Linked DNA regions of Drosophila melanogaster. The protein of the gene in region 3 purifies or fractionates together with the protein of the main gene of each other region. This does not show direct contact. Each region holds a gene or a part of one and is shown on either strand. Other genes may lie near its edges.

Region 1 (5,892 bases), on a different chromosome or scaffold from region 3:
CGATTGGGCCGCTACGTAGGCGAAATAAGCGGCCAAAACCGCGACGAGGAACAAGCGCATGATCCTCCAAGAAACCGGGTGTCGGATCAATTAGATCTGGTGGCCAAATTTAAAATTTGAAACCTTTTATACTCTGATACGGGGGTCTCGTTATTATTTTGGCTATTTGCGTAGATGCTTGTCTAGCTTGCAAAATTTTATTTGACAAAGAACATTTGGTACTTCCATTGTTTCTACGAATAATACAATAACTAAGCAAATTGTATGAACTATACTATACGTCAAAGTAAATATCTTTTAAATACCTATTAAGAAACAACTGTGCAAAATATTTGTGCTCAGCTTGGATTAAACACTTGTTAGATATTTTGACTTTACGTAAATCGTTCGCTCGTGTCAAATTTATACGTCAGAGGTGCATTAACCGATTTTTTAACAATTCATTAAAAGCACACGAGAACCATTTATTTGGTCAGCCAGTTCTCCAAAAATTGAAACAATCAGGGGGAAGACGAGAACGTTATTTGTATTTTTGTTTATTCGTACGATTAAAGATAAAATGATTATGCAACAAATTATAGATTTGAACCGAGCACTGTGTCGCTTTCTAGTATTCGTCCTTCTCGAAAGGGTGGTGAGGGTGACCGTATTGGCTGTAATTATTTAAAAACAAATTTGATCAGTATATGTTATATAAACTATATTTAAGCACAAGCTAAGCGAACAATGGGTTATCTACAACTACTACTGCCTAAGCGTAGAAATGTGTTTAAATTATTAAAAGAAAGATATAAATATTGTTAGAGCACAAGCGGGGAGAGTAAAACAATAATAAAGCTAAATAAACCAAACTCAGTAAACACAAATATTAAGGAAACACGAATATGCGCTTAAAAACTTGAAAACATACGTTGAACTCATGTTCATGTTTATATAGACCAGTAAACTTTTTGATTTTTTCTTCGTAAGCGTTTCCCTTTCCAATAGGTATAATTTTTCATTCATTCGAATTCTTCTTGCTCTTCAGATATAAGTTTCTTAAGGCCTAATACTCGTCATGGAACGGATAGTACTTATGGGTACCAGCATCCCTGAATAAATACAAATAAATATGTGATTTTTTCGAGTAAAATAACCGTAAGCCCACATGTCGTTAATAATGTAAATAAATAAACATTATTTAAGGTGCTAGTAGACTTACTTGAGTAGGGGAACAAGGCGGCCGTTGCACTCGAAGCTTTCGATGATTTCGATTTCCTCAGGTGTCAGTTCGAAGTCGAAGACCTGGAAGTTGGACTCGATGCGGTCCTTGGTCACAGATTTGGGGATAACAATGTTGGCACGCTGAACCTGGTATCGAATAAGGATCTGTCCAGGGGTCTTCTTCTTCTTAGCGGCAATTTCCTTGATCTAAAAGTTTTAAAAATGCTTAAAGTTAAATTCAACATGTTGTTATCAATGCAAACCAACCTTAGCCTCCTCTAGGATGACCGGATCACCAGCCTTGGCCCATGGGCGGTTGGGAGATCCCAAGGGACTGTAGGCAGTGATTGTAATGTCCTTTGACTTGCAGAAGTCAATCAGCTTCTTCTGGGTCAGATATGGATGGCACTCAATCTGATTGGTTACTGGTGGAATAGTGGCCACCTCAAGCACGCGCTCGATCTGCCTTCTGTTGAAGTTGGAAACACCAATGGACTTGACCAGACCCTCTTCCACCAACTTCTCCATGGCCTTCCACGTGTCGACGTAATCAACCGGCGAGTACAGCGTCTTGCCATCCTTGTCGGTGGGGAACAGATCGCATCCCTCCTTGTAGCCCATGGGCCAGTGGATAAGGTACAGATCGAGGTACTTCAGCTTCAGGGAGCTCAATGTGTTCTCCAATGCCGACTTGACAAGATCCGGGCGATGGAAAGTGTTCCACAGTTTGCTGGTGATGAACAGATCCTCACTGCGAAATTGTGAAATTCAGTACATGAGATTATCCCAACAACAGTAGACCAAGACTAGAACATACCGCTTGACAACGCCCTCCTTGATCTTGGCCTCAACACCATCTCCGACCTCATCCTCGTTTTGGTATACATAGGCACAGTCAATGTGCCTGTATCCGGCATCAATGGCAACTTTGACAGCCTCGGTGACCTGACCCTTGGGGCTCTGGAAGCAAATTAGCAACATATGGTGTTAAAAAATGCAACAAATTGTAGTTATCATGTAGATTAGGCCTTTTCTAAATAACATTTATCGCACAATTCTGTTATCACAAGTTCTCTAATTGGCTTCCGCACTTTCAAGGGTTAATAAATTGTGTTGTGCTTAGAAATGGAAAGAAGCATTAATAATCATGGAACCATAGAATATTCGATGCTCTTAACGGAATTTCGCAATTCGTTATCGAGCAAAGTTTCAGTTATGAGGAGCGTGATTTGGAAATCTAAACACTAAAGTCTTCCCTATCAGACACTTGACGTCACTTATCAGCCCCCTTAGTTCCCGCATCCAAAAAAAGATTCTAATGAGATCATAAATAGGTCAGATTATTATAGTAAAATAGAATTACAAACATGAATCTTATAGTTTTAAAGGGGAACATTTTTAAGTATGTAAATTGGCCAAAGTTTATAAAATTGATTTATGTTTCACAAAGAAGAAAGGTCAAAGACTTTCATTAAGTTTTGACTTTATAACTATACATTACGGCCACTAGACATTTGTTGTTTAATTTATGGGTTGGCCACCAAGCCTCTCCTTTTTTAATCTACAAATAGTGCACGTTTACTAATTCAGATAAGCCGTTTTTAAAAATACCCTTATAATACCCTTGCTAATTAAAACCGCCCTATCAGCGTATATTTATTTTTTTTAAAAGCTTTCTCATTACGAATTGTATTCAACTTGTACGCTTGTTTTCCGTTTTTGAGGGGCTTGTCTTTCACGATTCCGATTACACCTTACTTTTGTAACACTTTAATATTAAAACTGAAGCAATCTTGTTAGTTAATCTGCCACTCTAGATAAGAGTAGAACCCCGTTACTATGTGCCCCAAATATATAAACGTTTGTGGATTACAAGTATCTGGAAATGATGTGGCACATATTGCGAAAAGTTTCCACTGCCCTAAGAAGGTAGAAAGGGTCACCTTGACGAAAGTTCATGGAGATCTTCAAATCACACATCTATTCACCATGGTGTGCAATAATTAGCATAAAGGCAGCAAAATATCGGTTATTTTTGTAATATAGCTGCTAGATTCGACGCTTTGCAGCAGATATAGCATTTAATATGTACATATGTATGTACATACAGACTGACCGGCAAAATACAGCCGGCAAACTATCAGCAAAGCGACGCTTTTTTATCCCCTATGTGTATTCTGGCATCAGTGCAAAAAGAGCTGGGCAAAAAACGGGAAATCGTGGGCAGCGGAAAACTACCCGATTGTGGGAAGCAGAACTCACAAACACAATTGCATTGATTTGCAAGTGGTATAATGTATAAAGTAGTGCAATCACTTGATATTCTACTTACGCCCCAGGTTCCCAGTCCAATGATTGGGACTTCCTTGCCGTTGTTGAATTTAACGTTCGGTACAGCCATTGTACTATATTTTCGCTTATTGTTTAAGGATATTTATAAATATTTATAATACAATTGGGAATCTTTTAACGATTGCCGCCTCTCAACAAACTGAGCGATTCCACTCAGCTGTTAACCGCTTATATACGCACCGCAAAAGCTTGTTCGAAATTCTAAAAAGCTTTCGGAGGACAGGGCTGCATAGTCGACAAGCCGAACAGCTGAGCGATCGTCAGTTACGCTTAAATATCGAGTGCTGATATACTCTCTATATAGCATAAAAGAAAATATATATTAAACTAAATCAATTAAAACATTTAATGATTTCAATAAATGATACTAAAATGTATCATTTTACATATGTTATGATCGCTATAAAATTTCAAAAGCCCTTCAACCATATAGGCTCTTTATGATCGCTATGTAAAAATTTTTATATCCATATCTTCGTAAAAATATGATTATTTATCAAAACTATGGCATAGATATGAAAAAACAGACATTGTCATAATATTTACATTGAAAGTTCCGAGCCCAATTACTGGAATCTCATTTCCGTCCAAGCAAACCACCTTGGGAGCTCTAGCATACTCCTTCTGACACCTACAATATTTGTGGAAATTATACTTTTGATGCTTTGTTCGATTTGATTTTCCTATATATTACCACATAAATCGCTCTGGTTTCCCATAATTCCTCAACGTAATGCGAAAAACAGGCCTAACCAATTGAATTTTCATTAGAGTGTTCATTTTGCACGCCAGTAAATTTTAATTATTTGTGTAGAGACTTCTTGACGGATGGAATGCAATGGCTACTTGGTTTTAGTATTGAAGCCTAAATGAAAAATAGCAAAATAAATGTGTATATAAAAATAAACAGCCACATTTTAAATACAGCTTAAAATGCCCACCAACTCAAAGGCTACAATTCGATTTTACACACAGCAAAACAGTTTAATTATATTATATTATTATATTGTATAACAATAATTATGCTAGACTTCTCAGTATAAAGGAAGTACCTGGACATCATCAGTATAACTCTGCAGATCGCCGCATACAATCTTACTTATCACATTAAAGGCAATCAGTTTAAATAACTACTTGTACTTCTAATATTAATTAATATTAATTATCTACTTTGGCTTTGGGTTCAAATGGATGATGAGGATGTCCATAGGCCCTAGGAGAAAAATAGAAAGATTCGAGATATTTCAAGTTAAAACCTAGGAAATGAAAAGAGCAACACCTACGCCTTCATGGTCATAAAACGCCCATTGCAGTCCAATTCGTTAATGGCCTGTATGTCATCGACGGCCAACTCAAAGTCCCAGATTCGCTTAAAGTTGTCCAACATGTGCTGTTTGCTTACTGATCTTGGGATGACAATTATACCCGATTGTGTCTGAAAGCGTAGGAGCACCTGTGCCGCAGTCCTTTCGTATTTCTCAGCTATAGCCAAGATGGTCGGATGCTGGAGCAGTGGATAAGCGCCGGGCTTCTCGTAGGGCGTATGTCCCGATCCCAGGCAGCTGTAGGCGGTCACAGCAATGGCATTGTCATAGCACAGCGTAATCAATGGCTTCTGACTAAGGTACGGGTGGCACTCGATTTGAAGAACTACCGGTTTAAGCTTGGCCACACTGAGAAGTCTATTCATCTGCTGCTCATTGAAGTTAGACACACCGATGGCCTGGCACAGACCCTCGTCCACCAGATTCTCCATTGCACGCCACGTGTCCACATAGTCGATGTCCTCGAATGCGGCCTTATTGGTGTCCGGACACGTGGGATATAGGTTGTCACTGCCCGACTTGTAGGCCATGGGCCAGTGCATCAGGTAGAGGTTTAGGTACTTGACTCCCAAGTTCCTTATGCTTGTCTCACATGCCGGGCGCACCAAATCCGGCTTGTGGTGTGTGTTCCAAAGTTTGCTCGTGATGAAGAGTTCATCTCTGCAGTGCAATATGTATTTATGGCTTAGATAAACGATTGATTAGGCCTGAAAGCAGCACTTACCGTGTGACCACTCCCTCGTCCATTTTCTCCCGGAGAGCAGCTCCCACTTGCGCCTCATTGCCATAGATATGAGCGCAGTCAAAATGGCGATAGCCTATATCAATAGCATCCTTTACTGCTTGGGTCACCACTTCCGGCGGGCTCTAAAATGGCGAATAAAACGTAAAAAGCTGAGGTGCATCAAAAGCTTTTGCTTGACCCCGAAGAGCTTTGACATTGACCGTGAAATATGCAGTGGAAATGCACATTTCAGCTGGCTATTATTTAATAACAATATATATCTATGTA
Region 2 (6,931 bases), on a different chromosome or scaffold from region 3:
CTGGACGTGGACATCCTGATCACGGGGCACACGTACAAGTTCGAGGCCTACGAGCACGGCAACAAATTCTACATCAATCCGGGATCGGCCACGGGTGCCTTCAACCCACTGGACACCAATGTGGTGCCTTCGTTCGTGCTGATGGACATTCAGAGCACCACGGTGGTCACGTACGTGTACCAACTGATCGGCGACGAGGTCAAAGTGGAGCGCATCGAGTACAAGAAGATCTAGGGTCCTAGTATTAGCCACCAGCCATTCCCCTCCAATCCAACCCTTGACCCCTGCATTCTGAGCTCGGCTTCATTAAAGAAATTGTAAATGTACGTAGCAATAAATCAAGTTCTCATTTTTTTATCTGATAAAAAATGCTAGCACCTTGTTTAAATAGAGAATAAAAGTACGAACGGACGAAAGTGAAGTTTTAGATTTAATGCAATAATAAACGATTACAAAGTAAGGAAAAACACCCCCAGAAATTGTGATACTCCCACAATAATCTGATAAAAAAGTTTAAATTTTATTAAATAGAATATAAAAAGGAGTTACATCTGATGATCGAGTAAAGAGTCTGCTCAAAAGTTCGGATTTCATGCTCAGTTTCTCATTGCAACACACTCTCGATATAAATACATTGGGTTCGGTTTGTGGCCATCGCTTTTCCATCGAAATAAATTATATAAATACTTTCCACGAGCCAGGACAGCAATGTTTGGCAACATCATCAATACGAAATGTTTGATCTAAAAATCTTTGAATTACGAAAACTTTGCACTTAGATTAAATACAATTATGATTGCTGCTGACGACAGTTGGAAAAGCAACGAACAGGATCCCCGAGGAGGAGAACCGCCTTAGCCGAGGCTGTCCACGCACACAGTCTTCAGGGTCTTGCCGGCAATCGTGGTCTTATACTGCTCCGGTAAAGCCAACTCGGTCTGGAAATCACAAAAAAAATAAATAAATGACTGAAGACAAGAGACAAATTTTTGAACTCACATAATCGCCGCTGTCGTCGGGCAACAGGATGTTCATCTCCGAGGACTTGGAGTTGACGATCTCCACGCCCAGCGAGTCCTTGGACAGATACATCTGGCAGCCGTCGGTCTTGTCGATCGATACCGTCGGCACCGAGCCGAGCACCTGCATCTGCACGCTCTGGCAGTTGACGAACTCCACGGAGGCCACCACGGAATCGAACAGCAGGGAGCACTTCTTGCAGGAGTCGAAGACGATGTTGTTCACCTTGCCCTTGACGGTCAGAGTGGATCCCTCACACTTGAACACATACACCACGTTGTTCATCTCGGCGTTCTCCACCAACAGCCCGGTGTTGTTCTTCTGGTACTCGATGATCCACTTCTTTCCGTCGCGCTCGAAAACGGGCGCCTTGGCTTGCGCAGCTGATGGAGCAGCAACGGCCTTGCTGCCGCCCGACTGGGCTGGCGATTTGAACGGAGCCGGTCCAGTGCGTAGAGATGGATTTTTATGGGTCTGCATGTCGCCAGTGACCTTCTTCAAGCCTGCGGGTTTATCAAAAGATACATTTTCTTACTATAGGAGCACTTAACCATTTTTGCAGTTGCTGCTCACCCTTGGTGATGTCGGCACCCTGGTTGATCTGGGCGAAGAGGGCGCTGCGATCATCTCCGGCGCTATCCAGCTTGAGGGCACTCAGATCCAGCATGGGCGGCGGTGGGGGCAGACCACCGGGTGGCGGTGGTGGCGGGGCACCTCCGGCGGGGGCCGCTCCCTTGCCGGACCACACCAAGCCCGTGGTGTGGTACTGCCGGATGTAGGCCTGCAGTTCGGTGAGCGTCTGCACCCAGGCGCGGGCCCACTCCACATGCGTAACATCCTTCTCCTTCCACTCCTTGAGCACGCGGTTCGTGTAGAACTGGCCGGCGTCGTTCATCTCCTTGACATAGGGACCCGGGGTCTTCTCCACGCACACCCAGCCCAAGGCGGGAATGCTTTCGCTGATGGCCGACAGGTGGTTGAAGAAGGGCGAGGAGCGGTGCTTCTCGCGGAAGTCCTGGATGGCGCTGATCTGCGTCGAGGTCGGCTTCAGAAGCTCCGCCTGCTTGGGCTGCGCCGGCTGGGCGATCTGGGTGGCCAGCGTCACGTACTGCAGTTGGGAGCTGTTGCGGAATTGAACGATGGCATTATTACACTTTTACCATAGATGACTCATCCAGACTGACTCACCCAAAGGCGCTCTTCACGAGCTCCGCATGCTGCGCCACATCGCCGCCAATTTTGGCGGAGAGAGTTAGGTATTGGCTCAGCGGACCCGCCACAATGTCCTCGAATCCGGCGACACTCATGTTGCTGCTGGGCGGCGAGGGAGGTGGAGGTGGTGTCTCTGCTTTTTCAAAAACTGGAAGAGCTTCTTCTTCTTCGGCTGGCGGAGGCGGGAGTGTGGGCGTGGGCAGTTCTATCGGCTGTGGCGCTGTTAGAGTCCGTTCCAATCGGTCGACGAGGGTCTCCAGTCGCTCGCAAATGCTCTCCAAGTGGTCGACGGCGGCCGAGGGCTTGGCTTCCGGCTCGTTATCTGAACCAAAATGACGCGGAGGAGAACGGCAAATGTTTAGTTCGTTTTGGCAATTATCTCGAATTATTCAAATAACACTGAGTTTTATAAAGAAAATAACTTGAGTGAGATGATGCTTCAGCGTGATAAACCCCAGTGAATCGTGCACTCACAATACCTGACAAAAAAGGCGATATAAACTAAGGCGTCTCGAGAGGAATACCTCATCACGAGCTTGTGTATGATGATGAACTGGTGCGCTTAATACTTATAAAGTTCAATATGCAAAAAGAGCTAATCCCAACGAGTGAAAGTAATAATCCACATGCAAAAACGGCACAAGACAACGAAAAATCATAAGAGAGAAGAACTAAGTTGAACCTTTAAACGGAAGCACTTGACTTGCGAACTTATTGGCCATCAGGAAGTTACGTGAATCGCTAGACTCTCAAAACTTCTTCACAGCGAAAACGAACACATAAAGAACACAGAAAGTCAAGCATCCGCTTAAATAACTGCTGAGATCGAAAAAAAAAAGCAAAAGAATCGGACTCTATCGAAGCTCGCATACCCCGCACGGCCACGCTATGCTCCACAGCCGCATGGGCGGCCCGCAGGAGCTCCGTGTAGAGACGCTGGCGCTTCAGCTCCAGCTCGTCGCGTCCCACCGGCGTGACCGGGGGCTCGATGCAGCCGCTGGACATGGAACGAGGACAGAGGAGACGATGTACTGGCAATTCAAAGCGGGGCTGGGAATGCAGGGGTCGACCTGTTCTGGTTTCAGCTTAACTATATGGATATTTTGGGCGTGAAACCAAAACAGGATCTTGGGTAAGCATACATGTCGTTCAGGCGCTCGTCGTCGAACCACGAGGGTAATCCGTGGGCAAAGAAGAGTGTTTCCGAGACGACATCCCCCTCGATGTAGGGTGCACACATGCTCTCCCGCTTGGGTGGCGGCAGTGAGTCGGAGAACACCTCGTCGTCGTCCAGCAAGGAGCCCTGATTCTGGCTGGCCAGCAGGAGCAGTGGCAGTGGATCCGGCTCGATGATCTCCGCCCGGTTGCTGATATTCACCTTCTTCTTGATCGACTGATGCGTTGAGTTGTGCCTGGACAGGCAGCTCTTGGTGGGCGGCGGCTGAGGAGGCGGTGTGGTCGGCGTGACCGTCGCCACCACCACCACTTCGTCCGCCTCCTCCGCGTCGCCGCTGGTCATCGAAGCAGGTGGTGCCGTGGATGTGGAAGAGTGCGTTGAGCGGGCCAGTGGCTCCGGTTCTTTGGGTGCTAGTGCTGGATTTGCTGGTGATGATTTGCTAGCCGCTTCAGCCTGAGTTGGTTGGGCTGTGGAAGTGTTGCTTAAGATTACTCTACATGAAGCGACGAATTACCAAGACGATCATCAAGGAAAGCGCCGATACTTAAGTTGATTACTTCACTTCACTCTCTGCTCACCTCGCTTCCTGTCTTCATTATGTTTATTTATCGCATTTAAAAGCATTTACCATGGTCACTGGCAGATTGAGTAGTTAGTTTTTACTGCTCACCTTATTATTATAGAATCTATAGAATCTTGAATTTTCTGTCTAAATTATTGACCTTCATTTTAGTTTCTATATTCGTCACTACTATATACTATACGTTCACTTTGATGGATGAGCACGATCTAAGTGCTCAACAAAAAGTGTGTATGCAATGTCATTAGCTATTCCTCATTAATCAACTGAGAATCGGCGCAATTCCTTGATATTCATATGTATAAAATTCACAGAAATAAACCGAAGAGAAAGCACAGTGAAGACAACTCATAAGTAAATAGAAAAGGACACTCAAGGCAGCTTGAAGTGCCCGGATTGAAATGAAAGGAAAGATCAGAAGTGGTGGTCAGCTGCAGTGGCATTGCAGTGAGTGAGAGCCGGCCGGATAGGGGCCTTCGTTCCGGAGAGCAGACAAAAGCCGAGACAGCTGTTGAGCTCGAAGGCCGGAGAACGCGAATAGATGGGGTGGTGGGTAAATACTTAGCGTTGCGTCAGTACCAGTGTTTGGCTGGGTGCTTGTGGGCACATCCTCGGGATTATGCGCTTCCAAGAGCTCCTTTTCTGGTTTCACAGGCTCTGGCTCCTCCTTCGGAGTTCCTGGCTTGCCGTTCAGCTGGGGTTCCTCCTTTTCGGTGACCTGTCCGCCGTTCTCCTCCTCTGCGTTCCGCTTTTCCTTCTCCTTCTTGCCCGCCTTGGGGTTCGATCGGCAGCAGGAGAACATTTTGCAGGCGTGTGGCTGGGCTTTTCCGGTGCTCAACACTCTAGGTACGAATCAAGCACATTATGTAAGTTCCGTGGCTCGACTGCGGATGCCCGTGAAGCTCAAGCGGCGGTCACAACACTGACGGCACACCAAACCAAATCGAATCAGTAGAAGCAGTAACAGCAGCAGCCATATAAGACACTCAACGGGTTTCCAACGAACGTGGCCACTCCTTGCTCACTGTGTACATATATTCAGTGTATGGCCCAAATTTAGTGGCACATTAATAAGGTCCTCCGAGTTGTCCGCGCCTTCAACTGGGTCAAGTGACTGCCGACCAAGCACAGAACCAAATGGCACACAAATGCGATTACACACGGAGAACAGAACACACCCTAAACGAAGCGCACGCCCACGCACTCGGGGATTCGATTCGATTTCGAACTCGAACTCGAAGGTCTCAACAGGACTCTGTTAGGAGAGCTCCGCGCTGTTAACTGCTGAGTTTCGCCGCCTTGTTGGGCTACTCCGCGCTGCTTTTGACCATTTGGGGCCAGCCACCGACTGGCAATGAAATGTGTTTCATTAATAACCGCTTTTGGCCTGACATGCAGGATTTTGTGCAAGCTCCGGCGATGTCTTGCACTTTTGCAGCAGAGAAAGCTTACGGTCCAGGCGGAAAATGGAAAACTCTCCGAGAGAGTTGCGCAGACACCACTGTGATTTCGTGATACCCTTCTCGCCACGGGTGGCGCGACTTAAGTGAGGGAAAACCACGGCGATCCCATAGTTTTATCAGCCCTGTAAGGCAGGGTTCGCCTATCAATTAGTTGTGACAACACCGAGTTATCTTTACTATTTGGAAAGTTTCCAGGAATGATCGGTAATGAAACTATGATTCCATTTTGAGCATTACCATAACGTTTGTAAGCCATAGAGAGTAGAGAGATGCAATGATCATATCTTAGCCGGCTATAAAAACAGTTTTAAAATGTTCAGCTTTTTGTGAAGTAATCTGCCGCAGAAGAGTATAAAAACGTCGACGTAACTGAAACTCCCATATCGTTTGCTTGCCAGTTTTTGTTTTGGCCTTAGTGCAATGGGTTTATTGCACCGGCAACGTTGTTTTTGTTTTTAAGTAGCTTTAAACAAATGGCTGGCAATTAGAGTGGGAAATGCATCAGTAGCCGTTGGATTGGAGGGAGGGGCTAAGCCGCCGAGGACAAGTAAGCCGAGATTCAACTTTCGCCTGGCGATACTAGTTCTCCTTGCAGTCTTGATGCGTTTTCTGCGGCAGATGCGTTTGTTGCGTGCAGAAAGCAAAGAAGAAATGGGGAAGAAAAACTAGAAACCAAGATTAAATGTCTGCAGCTGAGGAACCGTTATTCCCGCTGCGAGAGTGTGAGTGAGCTCGAATTACCAGGGGTGGGGGGTGTTCGTAATGGTAGAAGAAAAATCGCCCACCTTATAAGGCGAGGTGTTATTTTCTTCCACCGAAATCGAGTGAGTGGTAATATCTGCCGATTTTCAATCGCGATTCGCTGATAAAAGCGTTTTGGCCAACTTTTTGACTCATTCGCGCACGAATACAAGCAAACGTGTTTGCTCTTGCGTAAACTACATACATGCATACATACATATGCATATCAACTATGTGTCTGTGAGTCAGCGAAACAAAAACAAAAAATGGCCACAACAGCTGAGTAGTTACTTTTTTTTATCGGGGGTTAACAATCGCAATGGGAGCTGCTAAGGGTTAATTTGCATACACTTGCTGGCAATGAATTAGTTGTGTCTTTATGCCATGGAATCGGATATGAAATCATCGTTAAAAATACACCATGTAGATTTAATTTTACAAGCAACATGAATCACACAAAAATAGCCATCACACAGCTGTCTCTTGTCTTTTTGGCTCTCTTCGCTGTTGTTGTTGTTGTGTGTGTACAAACACCCACAGCCTGCATCACACACACACGCTCAAATTCGTGACAGCACCACCCACCCCTCACCAATAACCGTTAATTCCGCAGACACTTTCAGCCGGCGAACGGGAGAAGAGAATTTGCGAATAATAGCAAAGCCCCGTTTAAATGAACGTTTTTAGCAACAATCAGGCGTTACTCACCTTCTTTTGCTGCTGATGAATTTGCAAGGA
Region 3 (7,994 bases):
ATATGAATATATATTTTATTTTAGGCAGCTACACTGAGCTACAAGGAGGCAATATAGTGTTGCCAACTGGTTATAGCTCTATTCTGCGACCGCTGGGTGCTCAGATAGCCAAGCAGTCCATACTGACCAAATGCCCGGTGAAGAAAATCCACTGGAAGCGGAAAAAGACCTTCACTGGGCTGGAGACAGTCGACGAGAACTCGGAGGACGAGCATTCAGACGACTCTGAACGAACGGTGACGGAAGTGCCGACGGGGGAAATTCGTGGCGCCTCCGTGGAGTCCAACACCAGCAGCAATTGTGATTATCCTGCAGGCAACGTGCGCATAGATTGCGAGGACGGTCGAGTGTTCCATGCAGCCCATGTGATATGCACCATACCGCTAGGCGTACTGAAAAACACCCATCGCACTCTCTTCGATCCTGTGCTGCCGCAGTACAAACAGGAGTCCATCGAGAATCTCATGTTCGGCACCGTGGACAAGATCTTCTTGGAGTACGAGCGACCATTCCTCAGTGCCGATATATCAGAGATTATGCTATTGTGGGACGACGATAAGCGGGATATGAACAGCTCCGAGGAGGAGCTGGCCAGCGAAGCGTATCTCAGCAAGAATTGGTTCAAGAAGATATATTCGTTTGCCAAGGTGACGGACACGCTGCTCTTGGGCTGGGTCTCGGGCCGGGAGGCGGAGTACATGGAGAAGCTCGACCATGAGGCAGTGGCTGAAAAGTGTACGGAAATACTTAGGAACTTTCTGCAGGATCCTTACGTGCCCAAGCCAAAGCGATGTGTTTGGTAAGGCAAAGAAACATTATTTGGTTAAGAATGTTGTATATTAAAGAAAAATCTATTTGTAGTACCAGTTGGAAGTCGCAGGACTTCACCGGTGGCGCATACACCTCAATACCGGTGGGCGCAACTCAGGAGGACATCGAGAACCTCGCCCAGCCCCTCTATGCCACGCCCCAAGCCATGAAGGTCAGTTCTACAAGCTTGCTTCCCCGGCAATTGTTCACATTTTAATATATTTCCCCAGCCCGCCATAGTCTTTGCCGGAGAGCACACCCATTCCAGTTTCTACTCTACCGTACACGGCGCCTATTTGAGCGGACGGACGGCAGCGCAGCATTTGCTGGCGAGCGATGAGCCAGACGAAATCATCATGGAGTCGGACGGCAGTGATCTGAGCGCCTGGATACAGGGCATTGCCCTGGACTGAGTCTAAGCTAATCAACGACCACTCATCGATTTTGTATTATAATTTATTAACGTTATTTTGTACACTCTTTAAACGCTTTTTAGCTAGTGATATTTAATTTGTTCGATTGTAATTTATTTTGCTAGCGTCGTAAAACGATTTAACTCATTTTTGTACATCCCTTGTGAGCATTTGTTTTATTTTGTTGATGCAATTATTTTGTAATTTATTTGGAACCCGCTTGTACATTACTATAAATAAAAGTTACGAATTAGCTGAGCTGATCAATGTGCTGCCAACTCGAACAGACCGTGCACCCGCAGCAGCTTTCACTGTACTTGGACGAAAAAGTGTGCACAAAGACATAATGTTGTTTAGACCTAATTACCGATTAGCAACCATAAGTGTATGAATACAAATATATTGCCTATTTTTATAAATTCGTATTTAACGTAGAAAAGGTTGCACCAAAAGGTTGACACTAAGACGATCGAACAATGAGTGCAACTAATGTATATTTGAAAGTAACTATTGTTAACGTTAACTATTTTGCTAACTAAATTATGCATTGGTTGACTCTTTAAGGCGGAAAAGGAAAAGTTGGTATTCATAAGTCCGTTCTAACACTTGGATCTGCATATTTATTTGTATTTGTGACAAAAATATCGACTTGTACGCATAAATAAATAAATTAAATAAATAAATTATTGAATGAAAATGTATAATTTTAAATAGTAAAACACAAGTCGAAGAAAGTTTTGATTTTTTAACGATGGGGAGAGATCTGTATTATAAAAATCAAGTTGTGCTTTTGGTTTTAGGCCAACAAAAGTCTATAATTCAAAACATATGTAGATATCCTAAATTATTTGAAAGTCTTTCGCATTGCACTCGTAAATTTTTTGTGGATACATTTACTCGAACTTAGCTAAGGTGTGGTAAAAAAGCTAATAAGGATAAGGTAGGTGGAAATGAAAAGGATTGACTAAGCTGAATTCAAGAATGCATTAAAAATGGCTTGTAAAAAATTCGACAAAAAATCCTTCGAGCCGGATTTGAACCAGCGACCTATGGATTTCTATTGCATGTTTTCCAACTACAGTCCACCGCTCTACCAACTGAGCTATCGAAGGGGGCGTGCTGGGGAGTAGGTTAAACAACGGGTATCCGATTCATCGCGACTCTTCAATAAACTTTTGTTGGTAATCGGTTTAATTAATGCGTATTTTAGCTTTTAATGGATTGAGGTCACGGACAGCATATGCCATGTCGTTCAAATACCTTTTCTTTTGATTGTTGCTAAGCTAAAATTAAATAATATATTGATGTACGCGTAAAGTAAGACATGTTCATTTTCACGTGTTTTTAAAATTGATATTCTTCAAATTATTATTCATTTTATATAACATTGTGTTTATAAAATGTCTTTTGCATCTACATGTTTATAATTGCATACTATTTTATATATTTTTTATGGGGTACGGGTGCTACTATAAAAACAAAAACGAATTGGATATTACAAAAAATTACAAAAAATCCTTCGAGCCGGATTTGAACCAGCGACCTATGGATTTCTATTGCATAATTTTCCAACTACAGTCCACCGCTCTACCAACTGAGCTATCGAAGGTTGAGTTCAAACTTGGCCGTTGTTCGTTTTATGCATGCGCACAAACGAAATGCACCGTATTTGGTTATTTATTTTTGATTTTTACTTATTTAGGTCAAACAAAATTGATCAACTTTCTCTATTCAGTCCATTGCAGTAAGCCTATAGTTTCCAAGCCTAATAGCCTAGGCGCTTTTCACAAACTATATCAATTTAGTTACGGTTTATTTCTTCCAAATAAAATCCTTCTTATATTATTTAGTTTAAACAGCTCAGTTATATTCTGAATGTCTGTAGATGAATTAAATTGATTTAAATTGTGCACTACAAAATATATAAAAAAAAAGGTATGTGCACTACAAAATATATAAAAAAAAGGTATTTATATCTTTTCGATCCTTCGAGCCGGATTTGAACCAGCGACCTATGGATTTCTATTGCATGTTTTTCCAACTACAGTCCACCGCTCTACCAACTGAGCTATCGAAGGTTAAATTCGCTTGCGGCTAATTCACCTTTTGTTCAGGAGCGAGGTGGGGAAAGTGACAAAAAGAGAGGGCACTTCTCTTAAACACCGCTGCTCTTTAATACTCGCGGCCAGAAAAATAGGACCTTAAATTCTTGTAAACTTATATTAAATACTAAAGCATTGTAAATCTTAATGAGAAAATATTCAGGTACAACTGTTCATGGCTTAATTTTAGACCAAAATTGTGCATGAATTTAGAAAGGCAGCAATGCACTATTTGAAACTAACTAGTTACCCACCCACAGCTGTGCACCGATAAAGGGGTGGTGTGCGAGCAAAGATGCCATATTTATACATATATCCATCTCGTTCCAGCGCCGACGATAGACGATACCGATACTTTGCGAGTCCGCTCCCAAGATTGAGCCCCCACAGCGTAAAAGCGACCGAAGTGCCGGCGACGAGAGCAGTTCGTTCCCAGAAGCCGGCAGCAGTGGTCCGTTGATAACTCCGACTCGAGCTACTTATCCACCACGTCGATACTCTTGTCTGTCTATTGCAAACATAGAGGAGTCACCCTTTGGCTAACGAATCCGAAACTCCCGAGTTTTGTTGTGCAACATATCAAAAACCGCATTTGTTCGGATCCAATTTACATTCGCATTTCAAAGATGTCGTACCACAAGCCCGAAGCTAAGACCGTCCAGGATCTGAAAGATCTGGCCCAGAAACTGCGAATTCACTCTATCAACGCCACCCAGGCCTCCAAATCGGGGTAAGTTTATCAATAACTGAAAGTCCATAGGCATATTAAAGTGTGCGTATTTAGATTTGTTTGTGTAGATGTGAATTTTAAAAGTTGTGCACCTTGCACTTGTTGCTTCAAAGGTGACCCCCTCCATTTCCAGGGTGGGTGCGAAAAAGTTTTTGAGGGGGCTGCTAAATACATACATACATATGTATGTGTTTTGAAACATTACAAAAGAAAATAAAACAAAAATAGTTACGCATATACATAGTTATGCATCTATGTTTGTATGAATGTGAGAAGTAAAATATGGGAAGACCGGTTCCTTTAGTGACCCCTCCTGGGATTCAGTTGCCAACCCACGTGTTGTCCAGTAGCTTTAGTGAATTTGCGAATTTGTTGCCCTGCCTGCGTGCTCAGTGATAAGCCGCGTTCACCTACCTTAAATTGTGAGCTAATATTTTTTGACCTTAGACAACCTTGAAACGTTAGGTTTTTCTTACTGCCTTTTAATTTCTTTTGCTTTTGTTTTGTGCGTGGCGTTCAAAACGCCGAAAGCACATACATATGTACATGGGGTAAAAACAAACATACTTACATATCAAACAGAGGCATTTAATATACGTATGTACATATGTACATACAAGTGTTGGAAAGCACAGCTTGTGACGGGAGTGGAATTGGAAAGAGAGGGATGAGAATAGTAATGGAATGATCCCCTACACTTGAGATTTACGACTGTATGGCTTTTAATGTAATTATATCTCGGATAGACGCGATCAAATTATTACTGCAACAGTAAATAAAAAAGTTACTATGCTGATAAGGAAAACACTTTTATCGCCTCCATTAGTTTTTCCATTCTGTTTCGTTTTTTTTTTTTTTTGTGACGGTTCAAGATAAGATCTGCTCTGTTTGCTCTAAATGTGACCTCTGCCGACGAGATAAGCCCGGTTTGGTTACTCATTGACCACGATATGACCGATTAGAGGTGACCAGCTCAAGTGTGTTCCCCGCATGATAATCGAAAATCACTGAAAACTGATAAAAAAAAAAAAAGCGCGCCGGGTCACTGCTAACACTCCGTATCACCTTCAATAGTTCTTGATATGGCTGCAGGAAACGGGGACGCACTTCGGAACTATCTAGAAGCACGTGCGTTCACAAAGATCGCCATGCAACACAATCGTGGAAGCCAAGAATTTGGTTTTTAAGGCTATTATTTAGGTTTTTTGGTGATCAGAAAAGTTCAAGGTCCCAGAAACCGGTGAGGAATTGCGATGGACTCACGTCGCGACAAACACACATATCACACCATATAACGCCAATAAATACATATGCATGTACTCGTTATAGTTTATTTATATGTCTGGGGTAAGACGAGCCCCCCATTTTGTCTGGGGTTGCGTGTTTTCTTTGCGGTTGGAGTTGTGCCAGATCTGCGATTCAAAGCAATTTTTTTTGGAACACGATCGCATGGGAACATTGAATTCCAAGAATGGATCTTATCTTATTTATATGTACATTGCAATTGGATACTCGAGAAATCTTCATTTGAAATATGAACAGAGGGGGGGGGGGGGGTTTAAATAAAAGCTTCAATAGACAAATGGATTTCTTTTATTAAACAACGTTTTTAACAAGTATGCACAGTGTTCAGTTCCACTTTTCCTTTGTTGATCGGCCTTCACTTACCCACCGTGAGGTCGACTTCTATAATTCATTAGGCACTTACCTTAACCTAGAACTACATGCAAACGAAATGCCTTGTCACAATCTAATATTTTGCCTACTTTTCCCTCTTTATAGCCATCCCACATCATGTGCCTCGATCGCTGAGATCATGTCCGTGCTGTTCTTCCAGCAGCTGCGCCTGAACCTGAAGCACCCACGCGATCCCTCCAGCGATCGCTTCATCCTGTCCAAAGGACACGCTGCTCCCATTCTGTATGCCGCCTGGGCTGAGGCTGGTCTCTTCCCCATCGCGGATCTGAACAACCTGCGCAAGATCGACAGCGATCTGGAGGGTCACCCGACGCCTCGTCTGAACTTCATCGATGTGGGCACTGGATCCCTGGGACAGGGTGTCGCCGTCGGCGCTGGCATGGCCTATGTGGGCAAGAACTTCGACAAGGCCGACTACCGCACCTACGTGGTGGTGGGTGATGGTGAGTCCGCCGAGGGTTCCATCTGGGAGTCGCTGCACTTTGCCGGCCACTATAAACTGGACAACCTTTGCGTGATCTTTGATGTGAACCGCTTGGGCCAGTCGGAGGCCACCTCCCTGCAGCATAAGCTGGATGTTTACCGTGATCGTCTGGAGGCCTTCGGCTTTAATGCCGTCGTTGTCGATGGTCATGATGTCGAGGAATTGAGCAAGGCTTTCCATTGTGCTGCAATCACCAAGAACAAGCCCACCGCCATCATTGCAAAGACGTTCAAGGGCAGGGACTTCCCCAACATCGAGGATTTGGACAACTGGCACGGCAAGCCACTGGGCGACAAGGCCGCCGAAGTGGTGAAGCATCTGGAGGGACTGATTGTCAACAAGAACGTCAAGCTGACCCCTAAGCCGGTGCCCAAGACTGGTGCTGCTCCCGACGTGGACATCAACAACATTAAGTTGAGCTCGCCACCCGCCTACAAGCTGGGTGATTCCATTGCCACCCGTTTGGCCTATGGAACAGCTCTGGCCAAGATTGGCCAGAACAACCTGCGTGTTGTTGCCCTAGACGGAGACACCAAGAACTCAACTTTCTCCGACAAGCTGAAGAACCTCGACCCGCAGCGCTACATTGAGTGCTTCATCGCTGAGCAGAATCTTGTGGGAGTGGCCGTTGGAGCCGCCTGCCGTCGCCGCACTGTGGCCTTTGTGTCCACCTTTGCCACCTTCTTCACCCGTGCCTTCGATCAGATCCGTATGGGCGCCATCTCGCAGACGAACGTTAACTTTGTGGGCTCCCACTGCGGCTGCAGTATCGGTGAGGATGGTCCTTCGCAGATGGGTCTGGAGGACATTGCCATGTTCCGCACCATTCCGGGCAGCACCATCTTCTATCCCTCCGATGCAGTGAGCACGGAGCGTGCCGTCGAACTGGCCGCCAACACCAAGGGTGTCTGCTTCATCCGTACGTCCCGTCCCAACACCTGTGTGATCTACGACAACGAGGAACCCTTCACCATTGGCCGCGGCAAGGTGGTGCGCCAAAAGAGCTCCGACGAGGTGCTTCTGATCGGAGCTGGAATCACTTTGTACGAGTGCCTGGCTGCCGCCGATCAGCTGGAGAAGAACTGCATCACCGTCCGTGTGATCGATCCGTTCACCGTGAAGCCATTGGACGCCGAGCTGATCATCGAGCACGGCAAGCAGTGCGGAGGACGCGTAGTCGTCGTGGAGGATCACTACCAGTAAGTGTTCTTTGTAGTCTTTTTATTTGCCTCCTTTGCTAACTTGAAATTTACTTAATTTCTTATAGGCAAGGAGGCCTGGGTGAAGCTGTGCTGAGTGCCCTGGCTGGCGAGCGCAACTTCGTTGTCAAGCACTTGTACGTGCCCACCGTGCCACGTTCGGGTCCTCCGTCGGTACTCATCGATATGTTCGGCATCTCCGCACGTCACGTCGTCAACGCCGTTAACGAGATCCTCAAGGATTAGGGGACCAGTCGTGATCTGGCTACATTCATTTACCGCCTACAGGAATTCCCCCAGTTACTACTTACTTCCAATATTACCATTCCCTCTAAGATTGTTAATTGCTTCATTGATTTGAACCTTACATCATGGAAATAAAATATCTTTAATAAAAATAGTTAAGCCGAACTATATACCTTATTTACATATTATATTACTTATTTACTATATTACTTATTACATGTTAAGCATGCCTTTAAAATGGCTGGACGATTTCATTGCGTTTGCCTTTGGTTTGCTTTAGACTTGCTTTGGTTTGTTTTTAGTTTGCTGTGG
Region 4 (4,056 bases), on a different chromosome or scaffold from region 3:
AGGCGGTGACCCGCGAGGTCAACCGTCAGGTGGGCGATGACAAGAAGGTCACGCGCAAGGAAAAGGACGAGCGCATCCTGTGGAAGAAGAACGAGGTAGCCGACTACGAGGCCACCACCTTCTCCATCTTCTACAACAACGCCATCTACCTGGCCGTTATCATTTTCATCAGCTTCTTTATCCTGAAGAACTCGACGCCGTTCATCAACTACATCTTTTCCGTGGGCATCGCCAGCGGCGCTCTGTCGCTCTTCTCCACCAGCGCACAGACGAACTGAGCGAATGTGCAGCCATGTCATCCCATGTTCATGTACTCGTAATGTAAGGCCCTTCAAGAGATTTCCTGGTACAGCGGGCTGGTCCTTCATCCGCCAACCCCCGTCCCATTGGCGTTTCCAGCAGTGCGAGCATAGAAATTTTATAGTATAAACACCAACTTGTCTTTCTTGTAGAAAGCTGATCAACTTCCATTCGCTGCTGATTGAATAAATTGTAAAGATAAAATAATTTCTTTATTGCTATCGGGGTATTTTTAAAACGGAATTTTCAGCACTAATTTAAGTGTAAATGCAGGGCACCTATTACATTAAGCTGTAGGATTAGACAGCCTCGAGGAGAAGGGCGATGCCCTGACCACCACCAATGCACGCGGATCCAATGCCGTACTTTAGCTTCTTGCGCCTGGAAAAAATATATAATTATCAATTTATGACAGGTTGTAAATTTCCACGGAAACTTACTGCAACTCATGAACCAGATGACCAGTGATGCGAGAGCCACTGGCACCCAGAGGATGGCCCAAGGCGATGGCGCCTCCGTTCACATTCAGTTTGGAGGTATCCAACTTCAGGGCATCGGCGCAAGCCAATGTCTGGGCAGCAAAGGCTTCGTTGATCTCAATCAGATCAATATCCTCCAGTTTCTTGCCGGAAACCTTCAGGACGTTCTGAATGGCGGGTACTGGGCCAATGCCCATGATCTCAGGCTTGACTCCGACAAAGGAGAAGGCCACTAGACGGGCCAGAGGCTTCAGGTTGTACTCCTTAAGCGCCTCCTCGGAGGCCACGATCACTGCGGAGGCACCATCACAGATTCCGGATGCTGTTCCGGCAGTCACAACGCCGTTCTTCTTAAACAGCGAAGGCAGCTTGTTCAGACCCTCGATGGTGGTCTTGGGACGTGGGTGCTCGTCCACCACAAAGTCCACTTCCTTTCCCTTGACCTTAAGTTTGATGGGTGTGATCTCGGCATTGAATGCTCCCTCCTTCTGACCCTTCTCCCAGTTCTTTTGCGAGAGCAGAGAGAACTCATCCACACGCTCCCTACTGATCTTGTACTGATCGGCCAGGTTCTCAGCGGTCAGAGCCATGGGCAGCTTGCAGTAGGTATCGGTGAGGCCAGCCCATAGAGCATCCTCCAGATTGTAGCTGGCACCCAAGGTGGTTCCGAATCTCACATTACGGGCAATGAAAGGGCTCTGTGACATGTTCTCCACGCCGCCGGTAAGGGCTATCTTGGCACCGCCGACCAGGATGTCCTGGGCTCCGTTTACGATCGACTGGAAGCCGGAACCGCAAAGCCGGTTGATTCCAAGGGCGGGCTTCTCGATGGGCACACCGCAGTTGAGACCCACATGACGGGGCACATAAATACCATCGGTGGAGGAGGACTGCGAAGTGGAAGAGAAGAGATTTTTAAGACTTACAAGTTACAAAAAAACATAATATAAGCATGTAGTTCCAGTTTTTGATCTACTGAGTTTGCAATTAAGCAATAATAACAAATAAATATCGAGTAAATTAATTTACATAACCAGATGTACAAGTATTTTATCACATTTACATATTTCTTTTAGTTTAATAACATCTTAATATTGTTTTAATCCGACGCCTTAAGAGTTTCTATTTTAGGATCTTCAATCCAACTTACCGCGATCACATTTCCCACGATGACGGTGTCCACTTGCTCACCCTTAAGACCGGCAGCATCCAGGGCAGCCTTGGCCGCCGTGGTTTGCAATTGGGTCTGGTTGATGCCCTTCAAGGATCCACCGAAGGTTCCGAAGGCCGTACGCTTGGCAGCCACAATATAGATACCTTTACAAAGGAGAAGAAACATACGAACATATGTATAACATATATAATGTGCGTAGTGATAGCACAAATTTAGCTCGAACGAAGGCGGATTTTTGTTTTCGATTCAACAGGTCCAAAGTGCAACCGGCTGGACGCGGGGGGGGGGGATAGCATCAGATAAGACACCAACGAGTCCAAAGTTCAGATCTCTCTAGCGAGATCATCTCTTATCTAGACTTCCAACAGCATAGGCATATCCTAAAGGATTCACATAATTACCTTTGGTTGCGGCAGACATTTTCTAAGGTGGGTTCACTCTTAAATAAAACAACAAATAAATTAATGCAAGTAAAGGCGACTATCGCACTGCAATAACTTTCGACTTCTGGTCGCGATTCGCCGCCATCGCCGACATATTATTGGATGAAAGCTCGAAAAGCTTTACCCCGCTCTCTGACAAACAAAGTGAGACAAGCCCACCGATTACAGCTGTAGAATACACTGTGCAAAATTAGCTGCAGTTTGTTCCTTCCTTTGTTCTTAGTGACGATTAGTCACCATCGCTGAATTTCGATTTTTGATGAAACTCAATCAATCCTCTAGTTTTTAAATACAAGTCTCTTTAATGCGTTCTTAATGTATATTTATCAAAGCAATTTTGCATACTTAAGTACTCCTTACAAAATGTTGATCATACAATGTTTTAAAGTTGGTCTTCATTAGAAAGTTTTTTATTAATTTAACTTGCATTTGTATTGGGTTTTCCTAATAAGAAGACAATAAGATTGTTATAGTTTCCAAATAAACAATCCGTACTTGGCAAAAAATTAAAAAAAATTGTACTGCTATGATACCGATATCATTCATATTTGTATGTACTATTTTTTTCATTACGAAAGAAAATGCTTCAGTTTTAATTAGACTTTATACTTGAAAACTATGACAGAGTTGAGTGAAATACAAATCTCATTGAGGACAATGGGTGTCGGGTTGTACTGGAGACGGGGTTGCTTAAGTTCTGTATTTATTATAAAGTAGTATGCAATCTCTCTAGGTCTAGGGCGAGTTGGAGATGTCCATGTTGTCCGACTTCTCGACACTAACCGATTTGCGTGACTTCGAATCGGCGCTGGATCGTGAGCTCTTAACCTCAGTGTCCTCAGAGATGGATTTGAGTTTGCGAGTTTCGGGAGTACGGGAGCGGTCGCGCCGCCGGGATGACTTGGCGGAAACGATGACCGGATCCTTGCTGCGACTGGACCGTGACTTACTGCCGGTAGCTGGCGGCGGCGAGGGAGAGCTGCGCTTGCTTCTAGATCGGGGAGAACGTGAAGAGTGCTTCTCGCTGCGGTGTGACTTCTTGCTGCGCTCGCGGGATCGGGAACGTTTGCCGTTGCCACTGCCTCCTCCACCGGTGCCATGGGAACGCGAGCTACGTGAGCGTGAGGTGCTGCGGCGATGGCGGGACCTGGAGCGCTTGCCACGCGACCTTGAGGAGCGAGAGTGCTTGCCGCCACGGGAGCGTGATCTCCTGGAACGTGAGGAGCTGCGACGGTGTCGTGATCTTGAGCGCTTGCTGCGAGAACGGGACGAGTGCTTGCCACGCGACCTAGAGCGGCGTGATCGGGACACACTACGTCGCTCTCTGGAACCGGAACGCCTGGAACGGCGTCTCGATGTGGAACGATGCGAGCGGGATCGACTGGTGCGACGGTCCCGGGAACGGGACCGTGATCTCGACCTGCGGCGCTTGTCCTTAGCGAGCATTCCAATTACCGGATCAATGGCCGCTGAGATCATACTCTGCGCCTCTTTCACAATGGTCATGGCCTCCTCAATCTCAGCCTGCGCTGCCTCATTCGACTTTGCCTCCGGCTTGGTTATGGAATACGTGGAGTGGTAGACGCTTAGATGGCCACCCTTGAACTCCTGGCCCTGCATGCGCAGGGCGTGAATAATGCTGGTCTGTTCGCAGAACTCA

Evidence for each region.
Region 1: the proteins of CG8036 (region 3) and Akr1B purify together in Drosophila melanogaster (affinity purification with mass spectrometry, with the first as the bait; one large-scale study listed by BioGRID). This does not show direct contact.
Region 2: the proteins of CG8036 (region 3) and capt purify together in Drosophila melanogaster (affinity purification with mass spectrometry, with the first as the bait; one large-scale study listed by BioGRID). This does not show direct contact.
Region 4: the proteins of CG8036 (region 3) and yip2 purify together in Drosophila melanogaster (affinity purification with mass spectrometry, with the first as the bait; one large-scale study listed by BioGRID). This does not show direct contact.

Annotation. Positions count from the first base shown.
Region 1 is NT_037436.4:11,620,013-11,625,904, forward strand, and holds Akr1B (Aldo-keto reductase 1B), read right to left. Parts: upstream 4,370-5,892; 5' UTR 4,336-4,369; coding exon 4,250-4,335; intron 4,187-4,249; coding exon 4,102-4,186; intron 3,704-4,101; exon of another isoform or gene 3,605-3,703; coding exon of another isoform or gene 3,536-3,604; intron 2,164-3,535; coding exon 2,021-2,163; intron 1,955-2,020; coding exon 1,471-1,954; intron 1,411-1,470; coding exon 1,202-1,410; intron 1,092-1,201; coding exon 1,046-1,091; 3' UTR 911-1,045; intron 654-910; coding exon of another isoform or gene 608-653; 3' UTR 523-607; downstream 1-522. Other genes in the region: Muc68Ca (mucin 68Ca), read right to left, coding at 1-60; CG6083 (uncharacterized protein), read right to left, coding at 4,714-4,768, 4,839-5,540, 5,605-5,747. UniProt on the Drosophila melanogaster protein: Catalyzes the NADPH-dependent reduction of a wide variety of carbonyl-containing compounds to their corresponding alcohols.
Region 2 is NT_033779.5:1,151,178-1,158,108, forward strand, and holds capt (capulet), read right to left. Parts: upstream 5,135-6,931; 5' UTR 4,792-5,134; coding exon 4,569-4,791; intron 3,877-4,568; coding exon 3,375-3,876; intron 3,230-3,374; coding exon 3,105-3,229; intron 2,555-3,104; coding exon 2,209-2,554; intron 2,142-2,208; coding exon 1,594-2,141; intron 1,524-1,593; coding exon 1,000-1,523; intron 939-999; coding exon 855-938; 3' UTR 501-854; downstream 1-500. Other genes in the region: Vps29 (vacuolar protein sorting 29), read left to right, coding at 1-234.
Region 3 is NT_033777.3:8,665,874-8,673,867, forward strand, and holds CG8036 (uncharacterized protein), read left to right. Parts: upstream 1-1,994; 5' UTR 1,995-2,163; intron 2,164-2,242; exon of another isoform or gene 2,243-2,335; intron 2,336-2,738; exon of another isoform or gene 2,739-2,832; intron 2,833-3,207; exon of another isoform or gene 3,208-3,301; intron 3,302-3,655; 5' UTR 3,656-3,951; coding exon 3,952-4,055; intron 4,056-4,626; exon of another isoform or gene 4,627-5,032; intron 5,033-5,837; coding exon 5,838-7,436; intron 7,437-7,504; coding exon 7,505-7,682; 3' UTR 7,683-7,829; downstream 7,830-7,994. Other genes in the region: CG8032 (uncharacterized protein), read left to right, coding at 25-799, 862-982, 1,041-1,223.
Region 4 is NT_033779.5:9,913,665-9,917,720, reverse strand, and holds yip2 (yippee interacting protein 2), read right to left. Parts: upstream 2,469-4,056; 5' UTR 2,374-2,468; coding exon 2,355-2,373; intron 2,097-2,354; coding exon 1,930-2,096; intron 1,670-1,929; coding exon 741-1,669; intron 682-740; coding exon 600-681; 3' UTR 501-599; downstream 1-500. Other genes in the region: CG5885 (uncharacterized protein), read left to right, coding at 1-278; Srp54 (splicing regulatory protein 54), read right to left, coding at 3,132-4,056.